3 linked regions of the Callithrix jacchus genome follow. The protein of the gene in region 2 interacts with the protein of the main gene of each other region in a pairwise test. Links are inferred from orthologs where the notes say so. Each region holds a gene or a part of one and is shown on either strand. Other genes may lie near its edges.

Region 1 (5,859 bases), on a different chromosome or scaffold from region 2:
CTCTTAAAATCCAATGCCACAAAATTCACATTTTATCTAAACCATTTAAAAAATATTTTAAACGTTTACTTTGCTCTTAAACACACATTAATAAACCACATCTCTACTTCTTACAGTTTAAATCTGAGCTCAAGGTATTAAAGAATCTTAAAATGATAGTATACTAAGGAACCTGCAACTTTTGCTTACACTTTCCAGAGGCTTCAATAATAAAAGATGAAGTTCATGGCAAATTATAAAGTTCTAATAAAAGTTTAGGAATCATATGATTGCATGGATGTGAGAAAATTTTAAAATTCGAAAAATCTCTACTTTCAATGTTTATATAACTTAAAATTTTAAGTGGAAGAGTTGGGAGGGGAGGTTTATAAGGAAAATGTCTTGCTGCTTACTTAAATCATTAACAAGTCAAACATTTTAGAGGCTTTCATCCCTCTCCTCTCAAAAAAATTTTTAACAGGAACTGGATTTAACATAATACAATGTGATTTAATTTTAAAATCTTCTGATATATATAAGAACTGAAATATTTTTTTGGAACCACAGTAACACTTGTAAAAGCAATGCTCTCAGAAAAAGAAAAAAAAGAAAACAGAAAAGAAAGTACAGCTGCTTACCCAGTTTATTGAATCCTGCAGCATTGTAATACCATTTTCGCATAATCTCCAGCAACCTGCTTGATGCTGAAACTGATCATTGTCACACTGTTAGTTGCCAGAATTAAACTATATGAACACTTTGATAGGGAAGCAACCAGTACTCATAGTTATCTTGCTAATACAAACATAGAAATTTCCTTTTAAATGTATATACTCTATATAGGAAGAATTTAATTAAAAAAGAATTTGATTTAAAAGAAAAAAGTTTACACTCTATACACTGCTGATAAAAAAAATGCTTATTTTACTTATGAACAAAAGTGGCTGCAGGAAAAAAAATTAGGTGGCAAGTCATGGAAGAAAAGGTTAAACTCAAACACTGAATGTACAAAAGATCTACAGGTACATCACGTGCCCTCTTATAGCCCCATTACCTTCAAAATTGAAGGGGTGGGAGATAGGAATAGGACTTGGATGTTTCTATTATTTGTAGTTTCATAAATAGATCACCGGAAATAATTGTAAAGCTTTCCATTTCAAAGGAGTTGGAGTTGTATGAAAAGAGACTGAGATTTCAGCAGAGGCTGGCAGGCCTAAATGACCCCCATCCTCTAAAATTTTTACTCAACATTAGTTATTTCACTTGGCCACACTCTCTAAACATTTATGTATTTTGGGGAGAATTTTGATACCATTAGTCATTTAAACATTAATGTGGATTAGTAAAAGAAGTCCATCTTCCTCCTCTTAAGCAGCTAAGTTCTCCCCAAGGGAATGGATACTGAAAACGGATGAGGAGAAATAAATAATTTTAAATCTCTTTGGGGAGCAGGGATGAGCCTGATGAAGTAACCCAGCAGGGTCCAAGGACAGCATGACAGTACCTGACATTTTAGGAGAGACATTTTAGAAAGGGGGAGGTAGCTGGGGAGAAATGCCAAATGTGGGTGAAGGGGAGAAGAAAAGAAAGCACACTGCCATGTGTGTACCTACGCAACTGTCTTGCATGCTCTGCTCATGTACCCCAAAACCTATAATCCAATAAAAAATTTAAAAAAAAAAGAAAAAAAAAAAAAGAAAGGGGGAGGTAGAACAAGTATAATTTTCTTTTAAAATTTTGTCTAGGGCTAGCCCCTTACCAAAAAGGAAAGCAAACTCTCACTCAACTGTCCTTGCCTGCACACTCAGTGCACTACGGATTACATGGCTTCAGTAAATCTCCTTGGAAATTAAGAGTCATGTATAAAACTGCTGCTAGAAAAGTAAGTATGAGTCAACAATCTACAGACATACTTGTGGAAGACAGATTATTATTATTGTTATTATTTTGAGATGGAGTTTCACTCTGTCACCCAGGCTGGAGTGCAGTGGAGTGATCTTGACTCAAGCTCCGCCTCCCAGGTTCAAGCGATTCTCTAGCCTCAGCCTCCTGAGTAGCTGAGACTATCGGTGCCCGCACCACGCCTAACTAATTTTTGTATTTTCAGTAGAGATGGGGTTTCACCAGACTGGCCAGGCTGGTCTCGAACTCCTGACCTCGTGATCCACCTGCCTCGATCTCCCAAAGTGCTGGGATTACAGGTGTGAGCTACCACGCCTGGCTGGAAGACAGATTATTTTTAAACATCTACCAGTGACTATGATAATAATTAATATTCACTAAGCACTTACTGTGTGCCAAGCACTTTCCTATTTGCTTTACCAACATTAGCTGATTTATTTACATGTCTGTTATTACAGAAGGGGAAGGAGGCTTACAGAAGTGATCCCACCAAAGGTCAGAAGAGTTAGCTAATGGGAGTTGAGATCTGGTCTATATGGTTCCCAAACACAGCACAGAAGCAGTGTTTTGAATTTAGTAAGACTCCCACAATAGCTGCCAAATTCATAAAATAATTACTAAAAAGTCTCCCCCCATCCCTAAAAAGCTCAACGCCAATTAGGTTAACGGATTTTTCTGGCAACTTGCTGTTTCCTAACAGCTTCACAGGTGCTGGAGAAGGGGAGGAAAAGATCAGTATTTTTTTAAAAACTGCTCTAATTTGTACCGCCAGTGGGCAGAGATTAGCAAAAACAAAAACAAAAACAAAAAACCCAGGGAAAACCCAACTTAAGGTTCACTTTGTTTTAAGTATTCCAGTAATATCTGCATTCTATTCCACAATAAATGCATTTGAACCTCCAATAAGTAAATTTCTCCAAATCTACTGATTAAGCTGACGTTCCAGATAATCCAAGGTTAACCTGAAGCGTTGCTTGTATCCCCTGCTCAACAGCCTCTAATTCGCAATTTGAGAAGCGCGAGGGGTGCAATGAAGTTTCTAATTCTACTTCCTTGGGTTATGTTGCCTCAGTTATCTCATCAGCGTAGAAAGGAAATTAATATCTCCCTCATCGCACTGGCAGGAGAATTTATTCAGCCAATGCACACGACAGAGCGATTAGGTCACAGAAAGCACTGAGCTCATTCTGGTTCAAAGTCATCGACTAGTTACCCCCTTGTGCCCTTGAACTTTTCTAAGGCCGACGGGAAGGAATGCCGAACACCTGCAGCTGGAACTCCAGGGCTGTCAGAGCCACCGCGGGCACCTCCACAAACAGCGGGTTAATATCCCAACTCTACAGGCAAGCCCGGCCTGGGGACAGCAAACGAATGGGGAGGCAAGTACTTTCGGCTGAACTGAAGCCACCACTTTCCCTTCCGCGACAAACCTGGCCATTTACAAAGAAGAGAGAAAACGGAGCGAACTGCTGCGAAAATAAAAGGTGTAGCGCGACTATGCCCGCCAAGGAAGACCCCCTCCCACCCCCCGCCAATCACTTACCAGCCGGCCGGCCAGCCATTATGACCAGAAAGCGAAGCGTCGCCTTCTGGGTAAGTCAAAGAGGACAGGCTGGGCGCAGTGCGCAGGCGCGTTACGTCGCGTCGCGAATCGATGAAGGCCGCTCGCACAGGCGCAGTTCTGACGGCTGTCGGTGAGCACCTGCGGGCGTACATCTCCGCCAGGGTGAGGCCAATAGAGTGGGCGGGGCATTTGGCGTGCTCTGTTCTAAGAAGCATTGGTTGCGGTATGTTGGGAAGAACACTAGGACAGGAATTAGGAGACCGAGGCTTAAGGCTAGGTTCTGTTACTTAATGTCCATAGCTATGAGAGCGTGGGCGGTATTAATTGAGCTCTTTGTGCCAGGCAGGAAGCAAGGGCATCATCTTATTTAGTTTTCTATTGAAGGACTGATGAATGTGCCATCCAAAATATATGGAATTGGTACATTGATTATTTCGAGTTGAAAATGTTGGAGAAATTGTAGTTTCACTAAGTGTTTGATGACCCATCTCTTCCTGCATGCAGCAAGCCATAAAGCTTCCTCCAGTACTCCTTTGGAGTACTCGTCCCTTACCAGGGGGAGAAAATATCACCCATCACCGGAGACTGGAAACTGGGGGCTGCTTTGGACCTGAATATACTTTCCGAAGTAACCCTTGTCTTCCACTGAGTTGACACCCCACCACACACACGTTTCTCCTAATGACTCCACAAGAAATTTACTGCCCCTAGCCACATCCCCTTTCTTCTCAGATTTGCCATATAAAGTATACTCTTCTAAAAAGTATAAAGGCATCTTGCATTGGCCATTTCACTCTCTTGTGAAGATCTCCGTGTACATGTAAAACTAATTTGGAGGCTTTTCTCTTGTTAATCTACCTTGTGTCAATTTGGTTCCTAGATCCAACCAAAGAGCTCACATAAGAGAAGAGGGGAAAGAGGGTTGGAGGTGATCTCTCACATCCTACACTATCACTTAATTCTGAAAGTACTGTAATTATCTCATTGTAGAGAGGAGAAAGCTGAGGCTCAGAAAGGTTGAGTAACTTGTCCAAGAGCACACAGCTAGAAGAGTCCAGGTTCTCCTTCCAGAGTCTGAGAATCCAGACACAAATTTGGGGGCTACTTAATTCTAGGGCCATATGTTACACTACTAATCCAGGAGAGACACCGAGCTTCTCAGGCCTTGGGTTTCTCCAGCTGAAGATCTACATCTAGCTATATTAGCGGAAGGTTAGGTCAAAGAAGTTTGTTTTTGTCACCTCTTTTTTTGTTGTTATTCAGCCTCTGTCAGTCAGGCTGAATGGCACAATCTCGGCTCACTGCAATCTCTGTCTCCTGAGTTCAAACTATTTGTGCCTCAGCCTCCTGAGCAGCTGGGACTACAGGTGCACATGCCACCATGCCTACTAATTCTTGTATTTTTAGCAGAGATGGCGTTTCACCGTGTTGACCAGGCTGAACAAACTGAGTATCAAACTCTTGACCTCAAGTGATCCACCCACCTTGTCCTCCCAAAATGCTGGATTACAGGCATGAGCCACCATGACCAGCAGAAGAGATTTTTTGAAGATTAAATCTAAGATGTATTGCAGAATTTGCACACAATTTTAAGACAAAATGGAAGTATTTGCTGACTTTTAAGATCTCAGCCCCAACATGCAAAGTCTTAGGCATAAACATCTAGGGACAAAAAACAATTCGGTGGAGCTAGGATGACTTATAGTTACTAGTGCACTTCTACCATTACTCAGTGATATCTTTTTTTCCCCTCAGTTTTAAGCTCGGAGTTGGGACCATATAGAATAGAATCTTGTAAGTTCAAAAGCTTAGATTTAATGGCCTTGGTCACATTCCAGCTCTAAAATTCTATTGATTTTCCCCTTTTTCTTCTGTCTTCATGCTGCCACAGTTTCTTCTATTAGTCAGTTCTGTATGCAGCACTAAAACTGATGAATGACCTCTTCTATCCTACACTAGCCAAAGTGAAGTCCGAAAGATGTGAAGAAATACATTTGTACATTGGCAAACTGCCCTGCAGAGGATAGGAGCTCAATAAACTTGTTTCTTCCTCCTTACCCTTTAAGTTTTAGCTTGTTGGTTACAGGTGAAGGTGGCAAGAGAAGACATATCAAAAGATAAAAAAACCCAAATTGTTACAAAATCCAGCTCCTAAGGAATTCAGTGTCTCTTAGAGAGACTGTTTGGTGGTAGTCATTAATGTTGATTCAAAAACTAGTTTTGGTTTTCTTTCCTCCTAGCACGGGATTAGAGATTGCCTTTCTCTGCCCTCTTCAAGTTAGGCATGGCCATGTGATACTTTGGCCAAGAAAAATGTGGTAACTTTTTAAGAGCAATTCTTCACATTCCTTTTGTTTTCCATAGACTGGCAACACTCCAGAAACGACAGAGACAGGATACATCAACCTCTATCA
Region 2 (5,823 bases):
GGCACTGTTAGGAGGAATGCTGAGACGCTGAGGGAGGACTCAGGAGCTCCCCACGCGAGATAGATGACGCCAAATAATCCATTACAACTCTGCTGCCAGCTCTAGGCCACCCGTGGCTGGACTTCTGAGTGGGGGATGGGCACCACGGCCACTGTGGTTGAAGTCACAGGGGACTCGGGACTCAAAGGGCTTGGCGTGGTCAGTGCAAGACTGGTGGGGATAGGCTCTGCCATGAATTAACTGCAGGATCCCAGGAGAGGGCTCTGAGTCCCCCATTCCGTCCCCATTCCCCAACCCATTTTTATTCCCATCCACCCTCCCATCCCGCACCAGTACCCCCATTCTCTCCAGCCCCTACCAACGTCATAATCCCATTCCCCCACCCCCAACCACGCAGCATCCGGTTCCACCCAGGTGCCCGGATGTGACGCCACTGACTTTCGCGTGGGGGCGGGTTAGAGAGAAGCGCAGTTCTTGGTCCGACCAGCGGTTTGGGATTGACGGAGAGAGGCGGGCAACGCTCTGTTAGGAGGTAAGGTGAGACGTAGAGGGAGGACGCAGGAGGTCCCCTTCCCCGGTAGACGACTCCAAATAATCTCTTACCACTCCGGCTGCCAGCCCTCGGCCACCCGTGGGTGGACTGCTTAGTGGGGGAGGGGCACCACCCCTACTGCCGTTGAAGCCACAGGGGACTCGGGACTCAAAGAACTTGGCGTGGTCAATGCAAGACTGGTGGGGTAGGCTGTGCCAGGAATTAACGTGGGGATCCCAGGAGAGGGCTCTGAGTCCCCCATTCCCATCCCCTTTCTCCAACCCATTCTTATTCCCATCCACCCTCCCATCCCGCACCAATACCCCCATTCTCTCAAGCTCCTACCAACCTCATAAACCCATTCCGCCACCCCAATACCCCCACCCCCAACCACGCCGGATCCGGTTCCACCCAGTCACGCCCAGATGTGACGCCACTGACTTGCGCATGGGCGGCGGGTTAGAGAGAAGCGCGGTTCTTGGTCTGACCAGCAGCTCGGGATTGGGGGAGGCAAGCGGGCAAGGCACTGTTAGGAGGAATGCTGAGACGCTGAGGGAGGACTCAGGAGCTCCCCACGCGAGATAGATGACGCCAAATAATCCATTACAACTCTGCTGCCAGCTCTGGGCCACCCGTGGCTGGACTTCTGAGTGGGGGATGGGCACCACGGCCACTGTGGTTGGAGTCACAGGGGTCTCGGGACTCAAAGGGCTTGGCGTAGTCAGTGCAAGATTGGTGGGGATAGGCTCTGCCATGAATTAACTGCAGGATCCCAGGAGAGGGCTCTGAGTCCCCCATTCCGTCTCCATTCCCCAACCCATTTTTATTCCCATCCACCCTCCCATCCCGCACCAGTAACCCCATTCTCTCCAGCCCCTACCAACGTCATAATCCCATTCCCCCACCCGCAACCACGCAGCATCCGGTTCCACCCAGGTGCCCGGATGTGACGCCACTGACTTGCGCATGGAGGGTGGATTAGAGAGAAGCGTGGTTCTTGGTCCGACCAGCAGCTCGGGGTTGACGGAGAGAAGCGGGCAAGGCGCTGTTAGGAAGCAAGGCGAGACGCTGAGGGAGGACTCAGTAGCTCCCCACCTTAGATAGAGGACCCCAAATAATCCCTTACCACTCCTGCTGGCTGCCCTGGGCCACCCGTGGGTGGACTTCTGTGTGGGGGAGGGGACCAGTCAGAGTGCCGTTTAAGCCACAGGGGACTCGGGACTCAAAGGGTTTGGCGTGGTCAATGCAAGACTGGTGGGGGTAGGCTCGGCCAGGAATTAACTTCAGGATCTTAGGAGAGGGCTCCGAGTCCCCCATTCTGTCCCCATTCCCCAACCCATTCTTATTCCCATCCACCCTCCCATCCCGCACCAGTACCCCCATTCTCTCCAGCCCCTACTAACCTCATAATCCCATTTCTCCCACCCCCAACCACGCAGCATCCGGTTCCACCCAGGTGCCCGGATGTGACGCCACTGACTTGCGCATGGGGGGTGGATTAGAGAGAAGCGTGGTTCTTGGTCCGACCAGCAGCTCGGGGTTGACGGAGAGAAGCAGGTAAGGCTCTGTTAAGAAGCAAGGCGAGACGCTGAGGGAGGACTCAGTAGCTCCCCACCTTAGATAGAGGACCCCAAATAATCCCTTACCACTCCTGCTGGCTGCCCTGGGCCACCCGTGGGTGGACTTCTGCGTGGGGGAGGGGACCAGTCAGAGTGCCGTTTAAGCCACAGGGGACTCGGGACTCAAAGGGTTTGGCTTGGTCAATGCAAGACTGGTGGGGGTAGGCTCGGCCAGGAATTAACTTCAGGATCTTAGGAGAGGGCTCCGAGTCCCCCATTCTGTCCCCATTCCCCAACCCATTCTTATTCCCATCCACCCTCCCATCCCGCACCAGTACCCCCATTCTCTCCAGCCCCTACTAACCTCATAATCCCATTCCCCCACCCCCAACCACGCAGCATCCGGTTCCACCCAGGTGCCCGGATGTGACGCCACTGACTTGCGCATGGGGGGTGGATTAGAGAGAAGCGTGGTTCTTGGTCCGACCAGCAGCTCGGGGTTGACGGAGAGAAGCGGGTAAGGCTCTGTTAAGAAGCAAGGCGAGACGCTGAGGGAGGACTCAGTAGCTCCCCACCTTAGATAGAGGACCCCAAATAATCCCTTACCACTCCTGCTGGCTGCCCTGGGCCACCCGTGGGTGGACTTCTGCGTGGGGGAGGGGACCAGTCAGAGTGCCGTTTAAGCCACAGGGGACTCGGGACTCAAAGGGTTTGGCTTGGTCAATGCAAGACTGGTGGGGGTAGGCTCGGCCAGGAATTAACTTCAGGATCTTAGGAGAGGGCTCCGAGTCCCCCATTCTGTCCCCATTCCCCAACCCATTCTTATTCCCATCCACCCTCCCATCCCGCACCAGTACCCCCATTCTCTCCAGCCCCTACTAACCTCATAATCCCATTCCCCCACCCCCAACCACGCAGCATCCGGTTCCACCCAGGTGCCCGGATGTGACGCCACTGACTTGCGCATGGGGGGTGGATTAGAGAGAAGCGTGGTTCTTGGTCCGACCAGCAGCTCGGGGTTGACGGAGAGAAGCGGGTAAGGCTCTGTTAAGAAGCAAGGCGAGACGCTGAGGGAGGACTCAGTAGCTCCCCACCTTAGATAGAGGACCCCAAATAATCCCTTACCACTCCTGCTGGCTGCCCTGGGCCACCCGTGGGTGGACTTCTGCGTGGGGGAGGGGACCAGTCAGAGTGCCGTTTAAGCCACAGGGGACTCGGGACTCAAAGGGTTTGGCGTGGTCAATGCAAGACTGGTGGGGGTAGGCTCGGCCAGGAATTAACTTCAGGATCTTAGGAGAGGGCTCCGAGTCCCCCATTCTGTCCCCATTCCCCAACCCATTCTTATTCCCATCCACTCTCCCATCCCGCACCAGTACCCCCATTCTCTCCAGCCCCTACCAACGTCATAATCCCATTCCCCCACCCCCAACCACGCAGCATCCGGTTCCAGCCAGTCACACCCAGGTGCCCGGATGTGACGCCACTGACTTGCGCGTGGGGGGCGGGTTAGAGAGAAGCGCGGTTCTAGGTCAGACCAGCAGCTCGGGATTGACGGAGGGAAGCGGGCAAGGCTCTGTTAGGAGGTAAGTTGAGACGCTGAGGGAGGAAGCAGGAGGTCCCCTCCCCAGATAGAGGACCCCAAGTAATACATTAGCACTATTGCTGCCAGCTCTGGGCCACCGTGGGTGGACTTCTGAGTGGGGGAGGGGCACCACCCCCATTGAAGCCACAGGGGACTCGGGACTCAAAGAGCTTGGCATGGTAAATGCAAGACTGGTGGGGGTAGTCTTTGCCAGGAATCAACGTGGGGATCCGAGGAGAGAGCTCAGAGTCCCACATCCGTCCCCATCCCCCAACCCATTCTTATTCCTATCCACCTTCCCATCCCGCACCAGTACCCTTATCCTCTCCAGCCCCTACCAACCTCATAATCCCAATCCCCCACCCCCAACCACGCAGCATCCGGTTCCACCCAGTCACACCCAGGTGCCCGGATGTGACGTCACTGACTTGCGCGTGGGGGGCGGGTTAGAGAGAAGCGCGGTTCTTGGTCTCACCAGCAGCTTGGGATTGGGGGAGGGAAGCGGGCAAGGCTCTGTTAGGAGGCAAGGTGAGACGCTGAGGGAGGGACGCAAGAGGTTCCCGTTCCAGATAGACGACCCCAAATAATCCATTAGCACTCCCTCTGCCAGCTCTGGGCTACCTGTGGGTGGACTTCTGAGTGGGGAGGGGCACCAACCCCACTGCCGTTTAACCCACAGGGGACTCGGGAGTCAGTGTTTGGGTTGGTCAATGCAAGACCGGTGGGGGTAGGCTCTGCCAGGAATTAACGTGGGGATCCCAGGAGAGGGTTGAGCCTCCCCCATTTCCAACCGCATCCACAGCCCATTCTTATTCCCATCCACCCTCCCATTCCCCACCAGTACCCATATTCTCTTCAGCCCCTACCAACCTCATAATTCCAATTCCCCAACCCAACACAGACGCCCATCCACGCAGCATCCAGTTTCACCCCGTCACACCCAAGTGCCCGGATGTGATGCTACGGGCTTGCACACGGAGCGGGGGTGTTAGAGAGAAGCGCGGTTCTTGGTATGACCAGCAGCTTGAGATTGGCAGAGAGAAGCTGGCAAAGTTCTGTTAGGAGGCAAGGTGAGATGCTGAGGGAGGACTCAGGAGGTCCTTACCCCAGATTGATGACCCCAAATTGTCCCGTACGATTCCTGCTGCCACTCCTGGGCCACCCATGGGTGGACTTCTGTGTGGGGGAGGGGCACCACCCCCACTGCGGTTTAAGCCACAGGGAACTCGGGAGTCAGAGTTTGAGCTGGTGAGTGCAAGACTGGTGGGGGTAGGCTCTGCCAGGAATCAACGTGGGGATCCCAGGAGAGGGCTCAGAGTCCCACATCCGTCCCCATCTCCCAACCCATTCTTATTCCCATCCACCCTCCCATTTCCCACCATTACCCCTATTCTCTCCAGCCCCTACCAACCTCATAATCTCATACCCCCAGCCCCATCCACGCAGCGTTTGGTTTCACCCAGTCACTCCCAGGTGCCCGGATGTGATGCTACTGACTTGTGCATGGGGCGGGGGTGTTAGAGAGAAGCCCGGGTTCTTGGTAGGACCAGCAGTTTGGGATTGATGGAGCGAAGCGGGCAGGGCTGTTACGAGGCAAGGTGAGATGCTGAGGGAGGACTCAGGAGGTCCCCACCCCAGATAGATGACCCCAAATAATCCCTTACCACTCCTGCTGCCAGCCCTGGGCCACCAGTGGGTGGACTTCTGAGTAGGGGAGGGGCACCACCCCCACTGCCGTTTAAGCCACAAGGAACTTGGGAGTCAGAGTTTGGGGTGGTCAATGCAAGACTGGTGGGGGTAGGTTCTGCCAGGAATCAATGTCAGGATCGCAGCAGAGTGATGAGTGTCCCGCATTGCCATCCCTATGCCCCGCTAGCACCCCTACCCTTCCCATCTCACTACTATGGTCATACCCTCATTCTCTGCCCTCATCTCCCTCCCTGTGGAATCTGGTTCCATCCCTGCTTTCAACACAGGCAGGCCCTGGGTTCCCACATGTGATGCCACTGACCTATGCATTGGGGGTTAGAGGGAAGTGAGGTTCTGTGTCTGAGGGTTGGCTTGAGATAGGCGGAGTGAAGGGGGCCCCGGCTCAGTGAGGAGGCAAGATAAGACACTGAGGGAGGACTCAGGATGACTGCATCCCAGGT
Region 3 (5,859 bases), about 39 Mb from region 2:
GCAATAAATATACTTCTGAGAAGGCCCAGTTAGAGTGAATTTTTATATATCAAGTCACAGTTTAAAGGCACTAACTAGGAAAGCTAGTACTTACAAAGAAACCTGTTGTGGATTCTTTTATAAAGCAAATGACCTCCTATTTTCTTTCTTTCTTTTTCTTTTTCTTTTTTGTTCAGATTGTGTGTGTTGTGTGTGGAAGGGGCGACTTCCCTCCTTTCTCTGGGTTAAAAGGGGTCAGAAGCCCACCATGGAGGAGAGTAATGCAGTATGGCCAGCCTGTTTAATACCCCCTTAGTTCCCGGGACAAAATTCTAACCTTTGACTTGGGGGTGGAACCCTAGATTTTGGACCAAAGTCCACAAAAGGCAGCAAGGAGGGAAAAGTAAGTAAGACTAAAGACAACACATCATAGTAAAACACCAACAAAAATTCCTGGGGACAGGAAATCAATGGATCACAATTCTAAACAAATTGGTTTAGTCCCCAGCTAATTAACTTGTCAAGCAGATCACTAAACCTACTGAATCCATGGGAGAAAGAGATGATGTAATAGGAGATTTGGAAACATTTACCCATTTACCATCCTAAAAGGCTCCACTACGACCACACACACCTCTCCCCACCCCTTTCAATGTGTTTAAGCTGGGCTTAATGGGTGCAAAGGACAATTTCTACCAGACAGTCCCCAAGAATAGACTGTTCTCATGCATTCCAAATGCTCAGTCTCCATGGAGGAGGCTACCTGGTCGCAAGCATTTCCCAAGCGGGAATATATCCTCTATTCCTCCTCACTGGTAACAACTCCCCCACTCCACCCCCACGCCCCAAACAAAACAAAACTTCTAACCATCTTGAGAACCTCAGGGGACTTTTCTGAGGTAAAGGACAAGAAACGTTAAGAGGGGAACAGGAAAGTGTGAGAAACTCCTCTTGTCTCCAAATGGAAAAAAGGCCTTAAAAAGCTGGATCAAAGGAAGAAAGGGGGATGGGGAAGAAGGGCTGCTTAATTACAAAGACACCCTTTTAAAGAAGGCGCAGGCCCTGGGAGAGGGCTCTTAGGAGAGGCACAGAAGCAGATGTACCCACTTAGAATTCTGGCACTCAATGGGACCTCAAGGTCATAGTATCCATCCCCCTGCCTTCTGATTAGGCTATTCTTAAAGCATTCTAGAGTCTGATGTGGTCTTTACAAAACCTCAGAGAAAGCAACTCTACAAATGTCCTAGTTGGGAATTAGTCTAATAAATCCAACTTCATAAACTGGAAATGAGATTTTAATTTCTAAATCCAAAATTGAATTGACTATTAATTATTAAAATTCCCTTTCTAAAATCTTTTAAATAGCTAAACAGATCCACAAATTTCATGTAAAAGTGACTCCACATACAACGAGGTTTACTTCACATCTACACCATGAAGGTAGAAAAAAACACTTTCAATTTTACAAAGCCACAAACTTTTCCAAAGAAAGAAGTAATTTAAAATGAAGTATGATGTCGTGCCAGAAAGTGTCTGTCGATGACACCGGATAAACCCATACAGAATAGCTGGAACCTGAGTTATCATCTGTAAATAGATGCAACTATTCTACAACCACCTGGCTGTTAAAGTGTCCCAGGCCAGTTATAAAATGTAGTTTGGCTAGGCCAGCTTTTCCCTCCCAGCTGATCTGAAACAGGATAGCCTTTAAAACTGTCGCCATGTAACGTTCCTTCTCTACCTTCCTACCTTCCTTTCCCTCATTAAAATCAACCAAAGCTATTTTTAAATGTATGTAAATAATGTGTTCCCAAATAAGCAATGAGTTCAGGACATCACAGAAATAAGTCTTTGAACACCACGACTTACAAGTTTGATGCACTTGTCCAATTGAAGATAGGTGGGAGATGGATGAAAATGTATCCCACATCCAAAATGGCATTTCAAACTATTCTTAGCTACTAAATGAGGGTGCTGAAAGGTCTGAGAAGGCTTCACAAAGGCTGGCCTGAGAAAGAACTTTTCACAAAGCCTAGCTCAAGGAGACTTAAATACCCTTAGCCCTTCATCATTGAAGATTATGGTGACTAATTATCTTCCTCTCTGAATGGGAGAAGAGGGTTATATTCATAAAAGTTTTAAACTGCCTCCCAACTTCCACGGAGGGAGGAGAACTGAACTAAACATCCTAGGTTGTTGAAAAATTCTTTCTAAAACATACGCTAGAGATTGAAAATGCTGTTTCTCACCAACTTCCTCTTTCCTTGCTCATTTAATCTTATTTAGTCACTTTATGAACATTATTATATTATTATTAGTGGAAATTTACCAGGAACTGCTCATAGTCTATTATAAAGGCGTATTTTTACTCCCACTTTTCTTTCTCTTGATTTTCACATATCCACGAAGTCCATCTTACTGTTGAAGCACCAACGTACAGTGGCCCAGGCTTGGACCCTCAAGACACCTGCCTGATCCCCCAAAACTATTTACTAACATCTTTGGATCTTCTAAAGTAGATAGGGGCAATTCCCTCCTCATGACCACTATCACCACCACCACAAGCACCACCACCACCACACATTTCAAAAAGTAGCCTTATGTTTTAGATTACGCAGACTTTAAAACTTCAAGAATTCACGGTCCTACCCCTCCTTCTCCCGCCTCAGGGAGTGTGAGTCCACACCCCAAGCCTAAGCACTTAGGAGAAACCTATCTAGTTATCTGAGATAAGCACTGACTTGCATGCTAGGCTAAAAGTAGATTTCAGCTTCCCTCGGGTCTTTAGCTCCTCAATGTGATTAATTTCCTAGAGACCCAGAAGAACCCCAGGAGGCAAGGAAGTAAAAATACCATCTAGTAGTGGTACCCACTAGCATCTCCTCACTTAAGCAGGACGGGAAAGCAGCGCACACTCTAACCGATTTAACTTGCTGCACATCCTGAAAAACTCATGGCCAGCTGCAAAGACAGCAGAATACACGGGCATTCTCACACGCGCCTAGATCGATTCACTCACGCCGAGGGCACGACCAAGTTCATGCCACCATGGATTCCTGCCCCAGTTCCCCGCAAAAAGTAACCACACGTCTCCTACCCCTGAAGGCAACGAAGACAAGGTGACGACTCTCTGCTCGCTCAAGTGGCTTCGGTCCCGGGCCAGCGGCCAGGGATGGGCAGGGGGGAAGCCCCAACTCCTGGCTGCTCCCCTCTTCGCTGCTCCGTCCGGGCTCTCCTTGGTGGCAGTGGACAGGCAGGATACCGGGCCAGAGGGTGGAGCAGCGGATGGTCGGAGGCGAGATTGACTGGAGGTGGTGGTAGTTGGAGGGGGAGGCGGAGAGAACTAAGAGAAGAGGAGGCGAAAGAGAGCGGAGACGGAGGAGTAATTCAGGGGGTCTACCAGTTTAGGCAGCCAGAAAGCTCCTCGGAAGGAAGGGGCGTGACTGCCAAGGCAGCTCCTGGGCAAAGGATGGGAGGTAGGGGAGGGGGACGAACGGGTGGCTTTTCTTCTTGCGGTGAGCGGCTAGGACCGCCCCGGAGCGGCAGGGCGGGTGGACTGGGGAGGAAGGCGGAGTAGAGGGCGGGGAAAGAAGGGCGGGAGCTTGCCTGGACCCTGGAAGTGAGGAGCGAGGAGAGCGCGGAAGAGAGGCGGGGCCGGGGGGCGGGGAAGTTTCAAACAATTAAACCGCGGGGTCCGAGAGCTCGGGCGAAAGTTGGGGACCCTCGCTCTCGCCTTTCCACTAGAGGGGCACGACTCGGTTGCCGTAGCCGTGAGAGTCTGCGCGGGGACTGGCTGGGGAGAAGGAAAGGGTTTTGCAAAAGACTACAATAATAACCTACGGCAACAGCGCGGCATACTCGCGTGGGAGAGCCAGTGCAGCTCTCCGCCCCACAGCGGGAGGAAGAAAAGCAAATAATAGAAATGCTGAAAAGCAGCTTCCACCAAAGCCTGCTTAAAATAATGAAGGAAGGAGCAGTGCTCCTTCGTTTTCCTTCCCCTCTCGCTTCCTATTACTAGCAGGCCCCCACCCAGGTCACAGCTCTGCGAGACACCCTCCTTTCTTCCTCCGCTCCCCCACCCCGGGAGTTTCCCCCGCCTCCCGATGGCGGGCTGCAGAAGCTGCGGGGCGAGGGAGGAGGGGGTCGTGGGCGGGGCTCTGCAGAGGCTCCGCCCCTGGGCGGGCTGTTAGATGCGGCCTGGGCGGAGCGGGCCCCTGAAGCGTAAGTCCCGCCCACCATTCTTTTGCCGCTACTGGTTGGCCGGGCCTGGCCTAGTATACGTTTGCGATTGGGCCCGGGAGTCGCCAGTCTGATCCTTTTGTCCCACCAGTCCTCAAAATTAATAAAACTAAACAAGAGGCTATTGTGTAGCTCTATGTTCTACCCCAGCTACCGCTGGGAAGAGAAAGATGAGACGCTTTCTCAGTCTCATAAAAGAGTGCAGCAGTGTGTCGGCCGACTCTGGTACGCCTTTATGTTTATAGCACTGTCCAGCCCTCCACGAATAGGTAACTTTTCTTTCCCCTTAATTCATTAAATCCGGAGGGGGAAAAGTACATGAAGTGCCAGTGTGGCGTTCACATTTCCTGGCTGTGGAAGAAAAAAACTGATATTGGTTAAAAACAGAGGGTTGAGAACAGTATACTGGGACACGGAAAATCTACCATTTTACATCTGGGAAAACGAAGGCACAAAGAAACAGTGTAGGGGTAGCAAAATAACATAGAATTGAGAACCAAAAGAAGAATTCATTTGGGGCTCTGGCACTTACTAGCTAATTGTATGACTAATGTTAGGTGGCTTAACTTCTCAGCCTTAATTTTTCTACCTGTAAATAAATGCTGTAAGACATGCCATTAAATTAATGGCACTGGAGTGAAAATGAAATGTGTGTGAAAACTAAAGCACTCCAACATGTATGTGTTCCTACTTGTGTATGACACATAGTGGAGAGTCTTACATGTGTTAGAGAATTAATATTCTGTTCATCTGTTTTAAGCATTTACATCCAAGGTCGTGTAGGTTTTGTGGCTTTATTTTTAAAAATCAGCTCTTTTCCTACAATTTTGGAGATGGATATGAAGTTGACTCCCTGCAGTTAGAATAATAAATTACCCCTTTTCTAAGCAGGGTGGGTGAGATTTCTTTTTTAAAGTTCTACGGTTTCATGACAACTTAAAGCTATTGTGGTTCTGGTACTGAAAGAGGAAATCATGCTGTGTATCTGCAAAGTGAACTTGAGAAAACAAATATGAAGGAACATTTACCATGGAAACCACCATTCTCTACAGATCCATATTTCCTAGAAAATATTTCAAGTAGGAAGCAAGCCTAACTGTAAAGGCCTTGACAGCACAAGGCTGATATAATGAGCTCATGCCCATGAGAGTGACATCCAATTCAAGCCTGCCTAATGGGAGCCATCTGAGAGGCCATGGATCAAGGCATGCAAGAGGAAGTGTGCTTAAAGGAAACACTATCACACAGTAAACTGGGGCTCAGACTGTAACTCTGAGTGCAGGAAAAGTAGGGACGATTGCACATCATGGAGTGTCCAGCATGCTCTGTGGAAATATTCAGAAGCAGGAGTGTGCACAAAATGATTCTGGTTATGATTCAGTTTATGTATGAAGTGAGGTCATTTGAGTGATTTTTCATGGAGAAAGTGAGTTTTTGAACGTTAAAGATATGGAGATACCTGGTTTGTGAAGCAAGGGAAGATTATTTCAGCCTTGTTGTTGGAGTGGATAGGAGAACTAGATGGGAGGGCAGTACTTGCTGCAGGACTACTACTAATCACAGTGGCAACAGCATACTTGTTAAAATCAATGCTGTCCAAGTGAAAAAAGTTAAACATGAAATGGAAAAATTCAAATAAAA

The links.
Region 1: the proteins of MAGEA4 (region 2) and UQCRB interact in binary tests that used the Homo sapiens proteins (3 or more experiments, as listed by UniProt). The two-hybrid records come from large-scale screens. The link is inferred for Callithrix jacchus from reciprocal best matches to the Homo sapiens genes MAGEA4 and UQCRB.
Region 3: the proteins of MAGEA4 (region 2) and AMOT interact in binary tests that used the Homo sapiens proteins (3 or more experiments, as listed by UniProt). The two-hybrid records come from large-scale screens. The link is inferred for Callithrix jacchus from reciprocal best matches to the Homo sapiens genes MAGEA4 and AMOT.

The regions. Positions count from the first base shown.
Region 1 is NC_133517.1:31,004,359-31,010,217, reverse strand, and holds the start of UQCRB (cytochrome b-c1 complex subunit 7), read right to left. Parts: upstream 3,458-5,859; 5' UTR 3,444-3,457; coding exon 3,425-3,443; intron 690-3,424; coding exon 618-689; intron 1-617. UniProt on the Homo sapiens protein: Component of the ubiquinol-cytochrome c oxidoreductase, a multisubunit transmembrane complex that is part of the mitochondrial electron transport chain which drives oxidative phosphorylation.
Region 2 is NC_133524.1:148,211,090-148,216,912, forward strand, and holds the start of MAGEA4 (melanoma-associated antigen 4), read left to right. Parts: upstream 1-2,009; 5' UTR 2,010-3,056; coding exon 3,057-3,127; exon of another isoform or gene 3,128-4,743; intron 4,744-5,823. UniProt on the Homo sapiens protein: Regulates cell proliferation through the inhibition of cell cycle arrest at the G1 phase. Also negatively regulates p53-mediated apoptosis.
Region 3 is NC_133524.1:109,163,284-109,169,142, forward strand, and holds the start of AMOT (angiomotin), read right to left. Parts: upstream 3,458-5,859; 5' UTR 3,077-3,457; intron 1,978-3,076; exon of another isoform or gene 1,849-1,977; intron 1-1,848.